Oryzias latipes: one gene and its partner. The protein of the gene in region 1 interacts with the protein of each later gene in a pairwise test. Links are inferred from orthologs where the notes say so. Each region holds a gene or a part of one and is shown on either strand. Other genes may lie near its edges. The genes, in order: psmd5 and psmc2.

Region 1 (4,553 bases):
ATCACTTGTTTTATCACTTTAAGAAGTTCGCTGTGGAATAATTTGTCCAATCCAGGTTTGGAGTAACTCAGTTTAGACAAAGATTTAATTGCCTAAAAGAGGGGGAAAAAAAGGCATTTAGTAAAACCCTGTTGACGAACCAAAACTCACTGAGGTCCTTTAAAAGGCTGAGTGCTGACCTGTTTTGCCACAGACATCTTTTCCTCTCCGATGCAGAGGATAACAGCTTTTAGAATGTCCTCGTTGTTGAGGATTTCTGTGGCGGCGTCTGGATGATCCACCATTCTGCCAATCTGACGAATTACCAAAAAACAAAACAAAAAAAGTGGTGTTTACTTATTATGGGAAGCTGTCTGCAATGTTTGGGTACAAACAGCTCATAAATATACCTGAGTTAAAGCCAGAATCTTCACGGTTTCATTTGGATGGGTCAAACCTCCCTGCAGCTCTGTCCTGTAGTTCTGGACCAGATAAAGAGGGCTGAGGGCCATCAGGATCCGGTCCAGAATCTCCACACAAAGCTCCACTTGCTGCCTATAAACACAAATCAAAAAGTGTGGCCGAAATTCAGAGGGCCTTGTCAAAGATCAACAGTCCACACTAAGTTCCTCTTTGTCCTTTACAGATCACAGCGAGAAAACAGGACAAAACTTTCAAATACTTTGCTGAGCAGCAGATGTCAATTCAAAGTTCTTTCAGGAAACAGCAAGCGCAATTCCACACACAGAAATGCTTTTATTGTAGAAAGTAACAAGTAGGCAAGGCTTTTTTAAAAGTCACATTGGACAGAAAATGGAAAACACATAAAACTAAAATTCAAGAAAAGCAAAACACAACAAACATCTTTATGACATGCTTAAGGATCAAAGAAAAAGTTTGTGCTAATTTTCACATAAATGCGTTTGACCTGCTGCTTTCAGTTTGTCCGTTTTCTATACTAGGCTTGTCTGACAGATGATAAAACAACCTGAGAGACAGATTGTACTGCTCCTACTGTAGTCCCTCCTCTTATTCCAGTTTTACCCCAACTCAATACAACCTCACTTCACTAAATAACAAACTTTCACATTTATTTTCCATCTTTTTGTTCAACTCAGGTGAATTAGGTTGAAAGCTAATTTTGAGTCACTGTTAGTCCTCACTTTTTGTCTTGTAGAACTCAAATAACAGTTAATTTATATATTATACTTAGTCTATCTTTCACACACCTAGGTGTGGGAAATTTGTTCTCCGCATTTGAGCCATCCCCTGGGGGAGCGGTGAGCTGCAGACACAGCCGCGCTCCGGAAACATTTGGTGGCTTAAACCCCCCAGTCAAACCCCTTAATGCTGAGTGTCAAGCAGGGAGGGATTGAGTCCCATTTTTAAAGTCTTTGGTAAGACTCGGCCCTTACAGGGCGGACACTTTAACCACAAGGCCACTGAGCTGGTAAATAACTGATACTGTATTTATCCCACAATGGGGAAATTCTTCTCCGCATTTGACCCATCCCCTGGGGGAGCGGTGGGCTGCAGTCGAACCGCGCCCGGGAGTCAGTAGCGTTAAGGGCCTTGCCCATTAAGGGTCTTGCCCAAGGCCCCTCACTGGGTGATGTGAATTGCTCGCCATTGATATGGTAATTGCCTGATTACCATTGTTCATTCCCCTCCGGGAATCGAACCCTGGATTCCTGCGTGGTAGTCTCTCACCTTACCAAACGAGCTACCCAGACTACCGCCACATTTATTTTTATCCACGATTTTTTTTTTTTTGGTCAAAGTTATCCTGAAATTATATGTAAACTCAAGTAAAAACTCAGGTAAACTCAAAAAGATTTCTCTTCTTGACAAAGAGGAAAAGTTGAAGTGACAGAGGAAACTAAGATAGTAATGGAAAAGAAAGAAGACAAAGATTATATATCCATTAAATTAACAATAAAGTTGTTGTTTTTTAAAACAAACAATAAAAACAAGGATTTTTTTGTGCTCAAACAATGCTTTTAAAGCATTTAATTTCATCTACAAAAAAAGGCAAACTTAAACATGAAGCCCGCTGGTATTGACATTATTTTTTCAGATAATCAAACATCAATTTGTAGATCATGCTGTGAGCGGAAATAATTGGGATGTTCCATTTCATTCTCTATCTTTAATTCTCACGTTGCTAACATCTTTATTTGAAAACAAGTTTAAAGTGAAGAAATAATTTTCTTTTATTTTGCAAATGTAGTGGGTGTCTCGTGCAGCTTATATCTGAGGAATTAAACAAAGAAAACGTACACTGCTTTAGATTTTTACGGCAGCAAAAGCTGTAGATAATTAGTTTACATCATAAAATAAACGGTATCAACCTCATTAAGTTTTTTTTTTCTTAAAAAAAACCTGGGAGATTTTTTATTTCCAAAAAAGGCTATTTTTAATGCTGTTTATTTTATTTGTAAAAAGAGAACAAAATAAAAGAGTATAGTAGTACAAAACTCTCTTTAGAAACATTTAGCCTAAGCATGCTAACTAGTAGCATACTGTAAAAATATATGTGTAGTTTACTTTTTTAATTTACAATTCACCACACAAACGCCAAAGCCTGCCGGACTGACTCAGCAGTTAGCTAGCAGCAGTTTTGGCAGTTTCTGTTAACATTGTAAACACAGGACCGAACCAACCTGTCATTGGAGCTGAGCAGAGAAAATATTACATCCAGACGTTGTCCGCTCACTGAGTCTCTCAATGCACTGACAGATATAGAAAGCAGCGCCGTTTTTAAGCTCTGTAACTCCTCAACTGGATCTTCTATTCTGGAGATTTCTTCCAGCAAACTTTGAATCAAAGCAGCCATGACTGGCAGAGACGTACCCGTCTCTCGAATATGCGTGCGCCTGCGCCTCTTCTTCGTCATGGTTAGTCGAAAAAGTCGACAAGAGTGTTAAGCCATTAGCGCCACCTGGTGGAGGGAGGACAACACAACAACCACTCAGATTTTAACACCATGTAATGTATTTTGATTTTTTATCAACAAAAAACCCTTGTACTTTATTTTACTTGAGGAATTTTGGTTTAATCTATTTGTATATTTGTAAATACCCCTTAAAATGAGCCATAATGTTTCAATTTTGGAGCTAAAACAATGCAGCGACGAACACTCGCAGTCTGTTTCAAGTACAAAACAATGTTTATATCGCAGTCTTCAATTTTTATTTCAGCTTCTAATCTCAGTCATTTTAAAGTTACCCCACATATAGAATGTCAATTAATCTTTAAAGAATTGTTCAATTACTTGAACATTTTTCATTCAAGCATTTGTAAGAGACAATGTTTCTTCATCCTCTGTGTGCATGATGCAGAAACTCAGGTAGGAGCTGTACTGCTGATGAGGTGTAGAGTTGCAAGCTTCTAGAGTTTCTATGACATGGAAAACCCTCTCTATCCTCTACTATTGTTTTCCAGCTCACCACAGTCTCACCTGTGTTACAGATTAACACTGAAGAAGCAAATAATGCGGGTAAGCATAAGAGTCTTCAGATGCTTAAAGCGTTTTCAGGAAATTGAATTTGAAGAACTGTTTCATTTCAAAATTTTAGATCTGTTTGTTCAAGCTGCGTACCCACCAGTGGTGTTTCCTGCTTTTCAACGTACTGCTCTTCCATGCCTTGCTGTTCGGGGCAGATTTTGTGGAGGAGTACCTCCTGCAGCCCACGCCAGGGGTTTACACTGATGCCATGGTTACTGGCGTGAGGGAGAAAGCAAGGAAATTGGACCTGAGCGATGCCAGGGAAAACATTTCCTTTGAGTACCCTATAACAAACGCTGAGGCTTGCAGAAACTCTGACCTCTTTCTTCTCGCTTTGGTCTTCAGCTCTGCAGGAAACATCTCCCAAAGAGACGCTGTGAGGAAGACATGGGCAAACCAAACCCTGATTGAAGGCTTTCCAGTGAAGACATTTTTTTTCTTAGCGCTGTCTGACACTTCTGCTGCGCATCAGGAGCTCCTAAGTGAATCTGAGCGTTATGGAGATGTAATCCAGGCTTATGCTGGAGCAGAGCGGTCCCTCCATGGCTCAAAGGAGAGGACCGTGCTGGCTCTCCGCTGGGTGATCTCCTTCTGTCCCCTGGCACGATTTGTTCTGCTGACCAAGGAATCTGTGTTTGTCAACCTTCCAGCTCTTGGCAGCTACCTGCTCAGACTACACAGACACCCAGAGGATCTGTACCTAGGCAGAGTGATTCAACAAGACCAACCTAACAGGGACCCTAAGAGTCCCGGGTACCTGCCCCCCGCTCTGTACCCTGCCAAATACCTGCCCGAATATTGCGATGACACCGCCTATGTGCTGTCCCAAGATGTAGTCCGGAAGGTGTATGTGGCATCTGCATTGGTCCTTGCGCCCGTGTCCGCTGATGTTTTTGTGGGTCTCTGTGCTCGGAAGGCTGGTGTCTCCCCAACCCACAGTGCTAGGTTCCCTGGAGATAAACACATTCATTACAACGCATGCTGCTACCTTTACCTGTTCTGCTCTGCAGGCATGAGGAGCCACGAGTTGGAAAGAATCTGGATGGATCTTGAGCAGAAAGGTGGA
Region 2 (4,527 bases), on another chromosome or scaffold:
CACTGTAGGTTACATCAGGCTTCTCTTCCACCTGCACCACAGAGTTAGCACAAACTAAGAAATGAGTCATTTTGCTTTGATCTTTAAGAAAAACCATGAATCTGTACACTTTTATCTGAAGACTAGCCTTGTTTACCAACAAAACACTTTTAAATCACTTTTTTTTAGGCTTTTGGAATTTCTTTCACACTTTTTATTTTGATTCGTTTTGACAAGGACAAAATCTTTACAAATAAGAAGAGCTTAGAATGTACCTATATATCAAGTCTATCTTATTTATGAAACAAACCACCTTGACAACAAAAATAAATTACATTTTGGATCAAACCATTTTTGTCACTCCGGTGGCTAGATTGAACATCTAGTGATTCATATTTTATTGATATAATTCTCATATGTAAATTTAACTAGTCCAACTGTTAGCTTTACGATAGCTGCAACAAGTGGCAAATGTGTTTAAAAAAAGATAGCTAACTGGCTTCTAATTTGCCATAACAAAAAGGATAGGTCACATGAGGGTGTGTCCAACTCTGGTGTTTATGCACTTTATGGCTTTGACCTAAGAACTTTTTCCTCTACTAAAGAACAGGTCATGAATTTTGAATATGATGTTAATTTTTCCAGAGGAGTGTTGGGAACAAGTTCATCAAAATATTTAGAAAAATATGTATAATATGGCCCAATGTTCTTTGCATTTTGTTCCATGTTTTGCATGCATTTCTGTTCAGCCACTCTGGGAACATGAATAAAACAACAATCAAGCGCACACATGTTTTTATCCAAACTCTGCCACTGCGTACCTGCATCATAGTTACAGTGGGGTCAATCTTGGGAGGTAAAGGAATATGGATCTGATACTTGTTCCTGTCAACCCTGCAACAACAAGTACAAATGTGTGCTAGAGACATATAAATCGGCTTGTGATTGACATGTCATGATCATATGAGACTCACCCAACTCTCATGCCTTCCTCAATGTCAGTTGGAGCCACCTGATCACTCAAATCCACCACAAACTTAGCAAACTGTTTGACATTGATGATATATTTAGGGTCTTCAGAGTCTGCGTTGATGATCTTAGTGCATCTAAAACACATTTATCATAAAGATTTTTAGAAGAGGAAGAAAGACTAAATGAAATTTTAAAAAAAGTGACACAGGGTCTTTAAAACTAAAAAGGCAGGCTGTTTTACCTTGCCACTTGTAAAGGCTGCTCACTCTGCAGAGTCTGTTTGTCAGCAGCCAGATCCCAAAGTGCCGGTGGAGCCAAGCCTGTGTCAGACTCTTTGATGCCTGACAAATTCAAAATCACAAATAAACTGCATGTTATGTTGCAAATATCATACAATGTTTTTATTGAGAGATCGTTCTCTTTCTTATTTTATTCCTCTAAATATTCTATCATTTTTATCTTAACTACTAGTTGAACATTTTGTGCGTCTATTAAACTTGTTTAATGTGTTTTAATATTATTGTTGGTATAAAGTTGACAAAGTCCATTTTTTGTCTAGGACTGGTGGAAACCTGTATCTACTGTTGTTTTTTATTAAATGAGACTTTAAAGTACAATAAACACAACAAATAAATAAACAAAATGATGTTCACAAATAAAGAACGAAATAAATGTTCATTTAAAAATTACAATGATTAATTAAACCATTAACAAATATTAATTATACACAGATAAGGCCCTGTGTAATTAACAGCACATGTTAGATGTTTTGGAGTTTAAGTCAGAGAGGTCAGACTGAGATGATTGGGACATGTCCAGAGGAGAGACAGTGAATTTGTTGGGAGAAGGATCCTGAGTCTAGAGATGACAGGCAAAAGGTTAAGAAGAAGATCAAAGAGAGGGTTTCAGGATGCAGGGAAGGAAGACATGAATGTAGCTGGTGTTAGAGGAGAGGATGCAGAAGACAGGGATGGACAGAGGAAGTTGGTTGGCTGTGGTCGAAAGGAAAAGAAGAAGAGGATATATCTTAACTGGATCATAAAATAAATCAAATGTAATCACTGGGTATATCTAATGAAATCGATGTAGTTTATTTCCTGTCCTAAATACCTTTTTATTTATTATGCCCTTTTTATTCTACTGAAAAATTGCACTGTAATTTTGTTGAACATGTACAATGACAATAAAGATATTTCAATATTTGGTAAAACACCTGGGAATGACCAGGTTCCATGTTCACCCACCTGTAAGCTCGTTGATCTTCTTGAGAAGCTGCTGAATGTCATCCTCTACCTGTTTGATCTGTCTGGAGTAGGTGCTTTGACCCTGGCAAAGCCACGACAAACTTTGGTCAATATTTGACGTTTAGAATAAAACTAAAAATAAATGAATAAAATTAAAATAAAATAATTTAAGAAAGAAAAAAAAAAACAACTCTGAAATTTGACCACTTTGAGAAAAACTTACGTATGTTTTGAGCAGTGCGATGTCGCCTTCATCCAAAGCTACCAGAAAAAAATAAAAAACAGGAATATGACTTCGCTATTTCAGCCGGCAGTTAGCATTGATTGCTACAACACTGGTCATCATGTTAAAAATAAGAAACATTTTTATCTGTTCACTATAAACACATTGTTTTTGATTAAAAATAAAAAATGGGCCATCATTGGAACAACCTAAAACTATTGCGTTGTTTTAAAATAGAGGAAAAAACGAGAGCTAAGAGACAATTAGCTTGTTTGTCGACATGACATCCGACAGTATTGTTGTTGAGATTATAATATTGGTTTTGTATAAACCTCGAATGGGTGCGTCATCTTTTTCTTCTTCCTTGGTTTTCCGTTGATCTTCTCCCAAATAATCAGGCATGTTTAAAGTTGATACAAACGAACGCTTTTGTCACGTATGCTGGGCTATTTCTACTGCCAGACCGAGCGATTACACAGCAACTTTACACTTCCGCCGCTACCCGGAAGTCCAGAAGGGACTCGAATTGATGGGACACTCTCTCTAAAAACAGTTTTCTCAAAAAGTCCTCGGTGTTTCGATCAATGTATATACTGCTAAAAAATAATTCCGCTATATAACGTTATTATTTGTATGTATGTATGAAAAAAGGGGCTACTCAAAGAAGTTGTGGCGGAACCAAAAAGGCGGAACTATAATAGCGACTCAGAAGTCACTGAGCTCCTTCGATTTGCGTGCACACCGGGAGGAGGCCCATGTGGTCCGTCAATGAGCGACCCTTAAACTTTAGCACTTCGGACTACTTTACCAACGCTGGGAAGTGTATGTTTGAGACGGTTATGTTATGAAGATGCTGCTAGAAGCAAAGAATACCGAGGAGACCGCGGTGCTAAAGGCGGTTGCCGGTAAGTAGTGGAGGCCGCCGGGTCGCAGCTAATATCATATCGGTCTTTATGGACCTACTCTTACGCAGTTGTTCAAAAAAGCTTAAGAAATCAAACAAATGTTTAAATTCTTAAACGTTGTGAGTTATAACGTTGGGATTATTATTTAGATGACTTGTTGGTGGCATGATCTGACAGTGCCACACAAATTCACGGGCTCTAAACATTGAAGGGGTAAGGGTAGAATTCCTAATCCAAGTTTCCATTCTCCTCTGAAGTAACACATTTTTAGCTAACCCAAAAATTTAAATGATTTTTAAAAAATTACAAATTCTAAAATGGTAAAGTCCCATATGGTATTAAAATGCTTATTATGTAAAGTACATCCTCTGTAAACCAGACTGCTGTGACCATATTAGCTGTAATAATATTAGCAAACCTTACTGATTCTGGAATAACACTTTTCACTAATGAACCACAGTTGGACTTGATACTGTAATCAGAATAACTTTTTTGACCTTGTTGTCACAATCGAATTGAAATATTTTACAACTAACTTTTTGGGAAAATAATAAGTTTGAAGTTAGAGATTAATCTCCAGTAAAAAGAGGCATTAGTGCACTTTTTTGAAGGACTGATGATGTAGTGTTTGATTACATTCTAATCTTTGTTATGCAGGATCACTAAATTACTATAAAAATTGCATGGTGGTGTAGTGGTTGGGGCTCTTTCCTCACAGCATGAATTTTCATGTCCTGAAACAGAACATCAATGGGGACCTTTCTGTGTTGAGTTTGCATGTTTTCCCCATGCATGCATGGGTTTTCTCCGGAGACCCTGGCTTCCTCCGACCGTCCAAAACATGGTTGATAGGTTAATTGAGGCAAGGGACTCTAAATTGTCCTTAGGTAGGAATGTGCATGGGTGCGTGATTTGTGGCCCTGCGACAGACGGGCAAACTTTCCAGGATGTCCCCTGCCCTCGCCCACGAGTGGCTGGGATAGGTTCCGGCAGCCACGTGACACCGTAAGGGACAAAACGGGTTCAGAAGATGAATGAAAGAATGGTATAGCCAAAATCTTGACCATTTGTCAACATGAAATGTAGAAAAACAGATCTGACATCAATGGGATTCAGGTGAGAACAGAGAAAACTAGGTGGTACCATATCACAAAAAAGTGATGCAATCACATGAACAAGGATTAGGAGAAGCATTTTATGGGAG

What was found.
Region 2: the proteins of psmd5 (region 1) and psmc2 interact in binary tests that used the Homo sapiens proteins (3 or more experiments, as listed by UniProt). The link is inferred for Oryzias latipes from reciprocal best matches to the Homo sapiens genes PSMD5 and PSMC2.

What each region holds. Positions count from the first base shown.
Region 1 is NC_019870.2:8,934,971-8,939,523, forward strand, and holds the start of psmd5 (26S proteasome non-ATPase regulatory subunit 5), read right to left. Parts: upstream 2,891-4,553; 5' UTR 2,876-2,890; coding exon 2,643-2,875; intron 535-2,642; coding exon 390-534; intron 294-389; coding exon 180-293; intron 93-179; coding exon 1-92. Other genes in the region: putative UDP-GlcNAc:betaGal beta-1,3-N-acetylglucosaminyltransferase LOC100288842, read left to right, coding at 3,696-4,553. UniProt on the Homo sapiens protein: Acts as a chaperone during the assembly of the 26S proteasome, specifically of the base subcomplex of the PA700/19S regulatory complex (RC).
Region 2 is NC_019881.2:9,541,675-9,546,201, forward strand, and holds the start of psmc2 (26S proteasome regulatory subunit 7), read right to left. Parts: upstream 2,935-4,527; 5' UTR 2,821-2,934; coding exon 2,751-2,820; intron 2,457-2,750; coding exon 2,419-2,456; intron 2,278-2,418; coding exon 2,196-2,277; intron 1,293-2,195; coding exon 1,193-1,292; intron 1,086-1,192; coding exon 954-1,085; intron 874-953; coding exon 801-873; intron 32-800; coding exon 1-31. Other genes in the region: dnajc2 (dnaJ homolog subfamily C member 2), read left to right, coding at 3,263-3,323.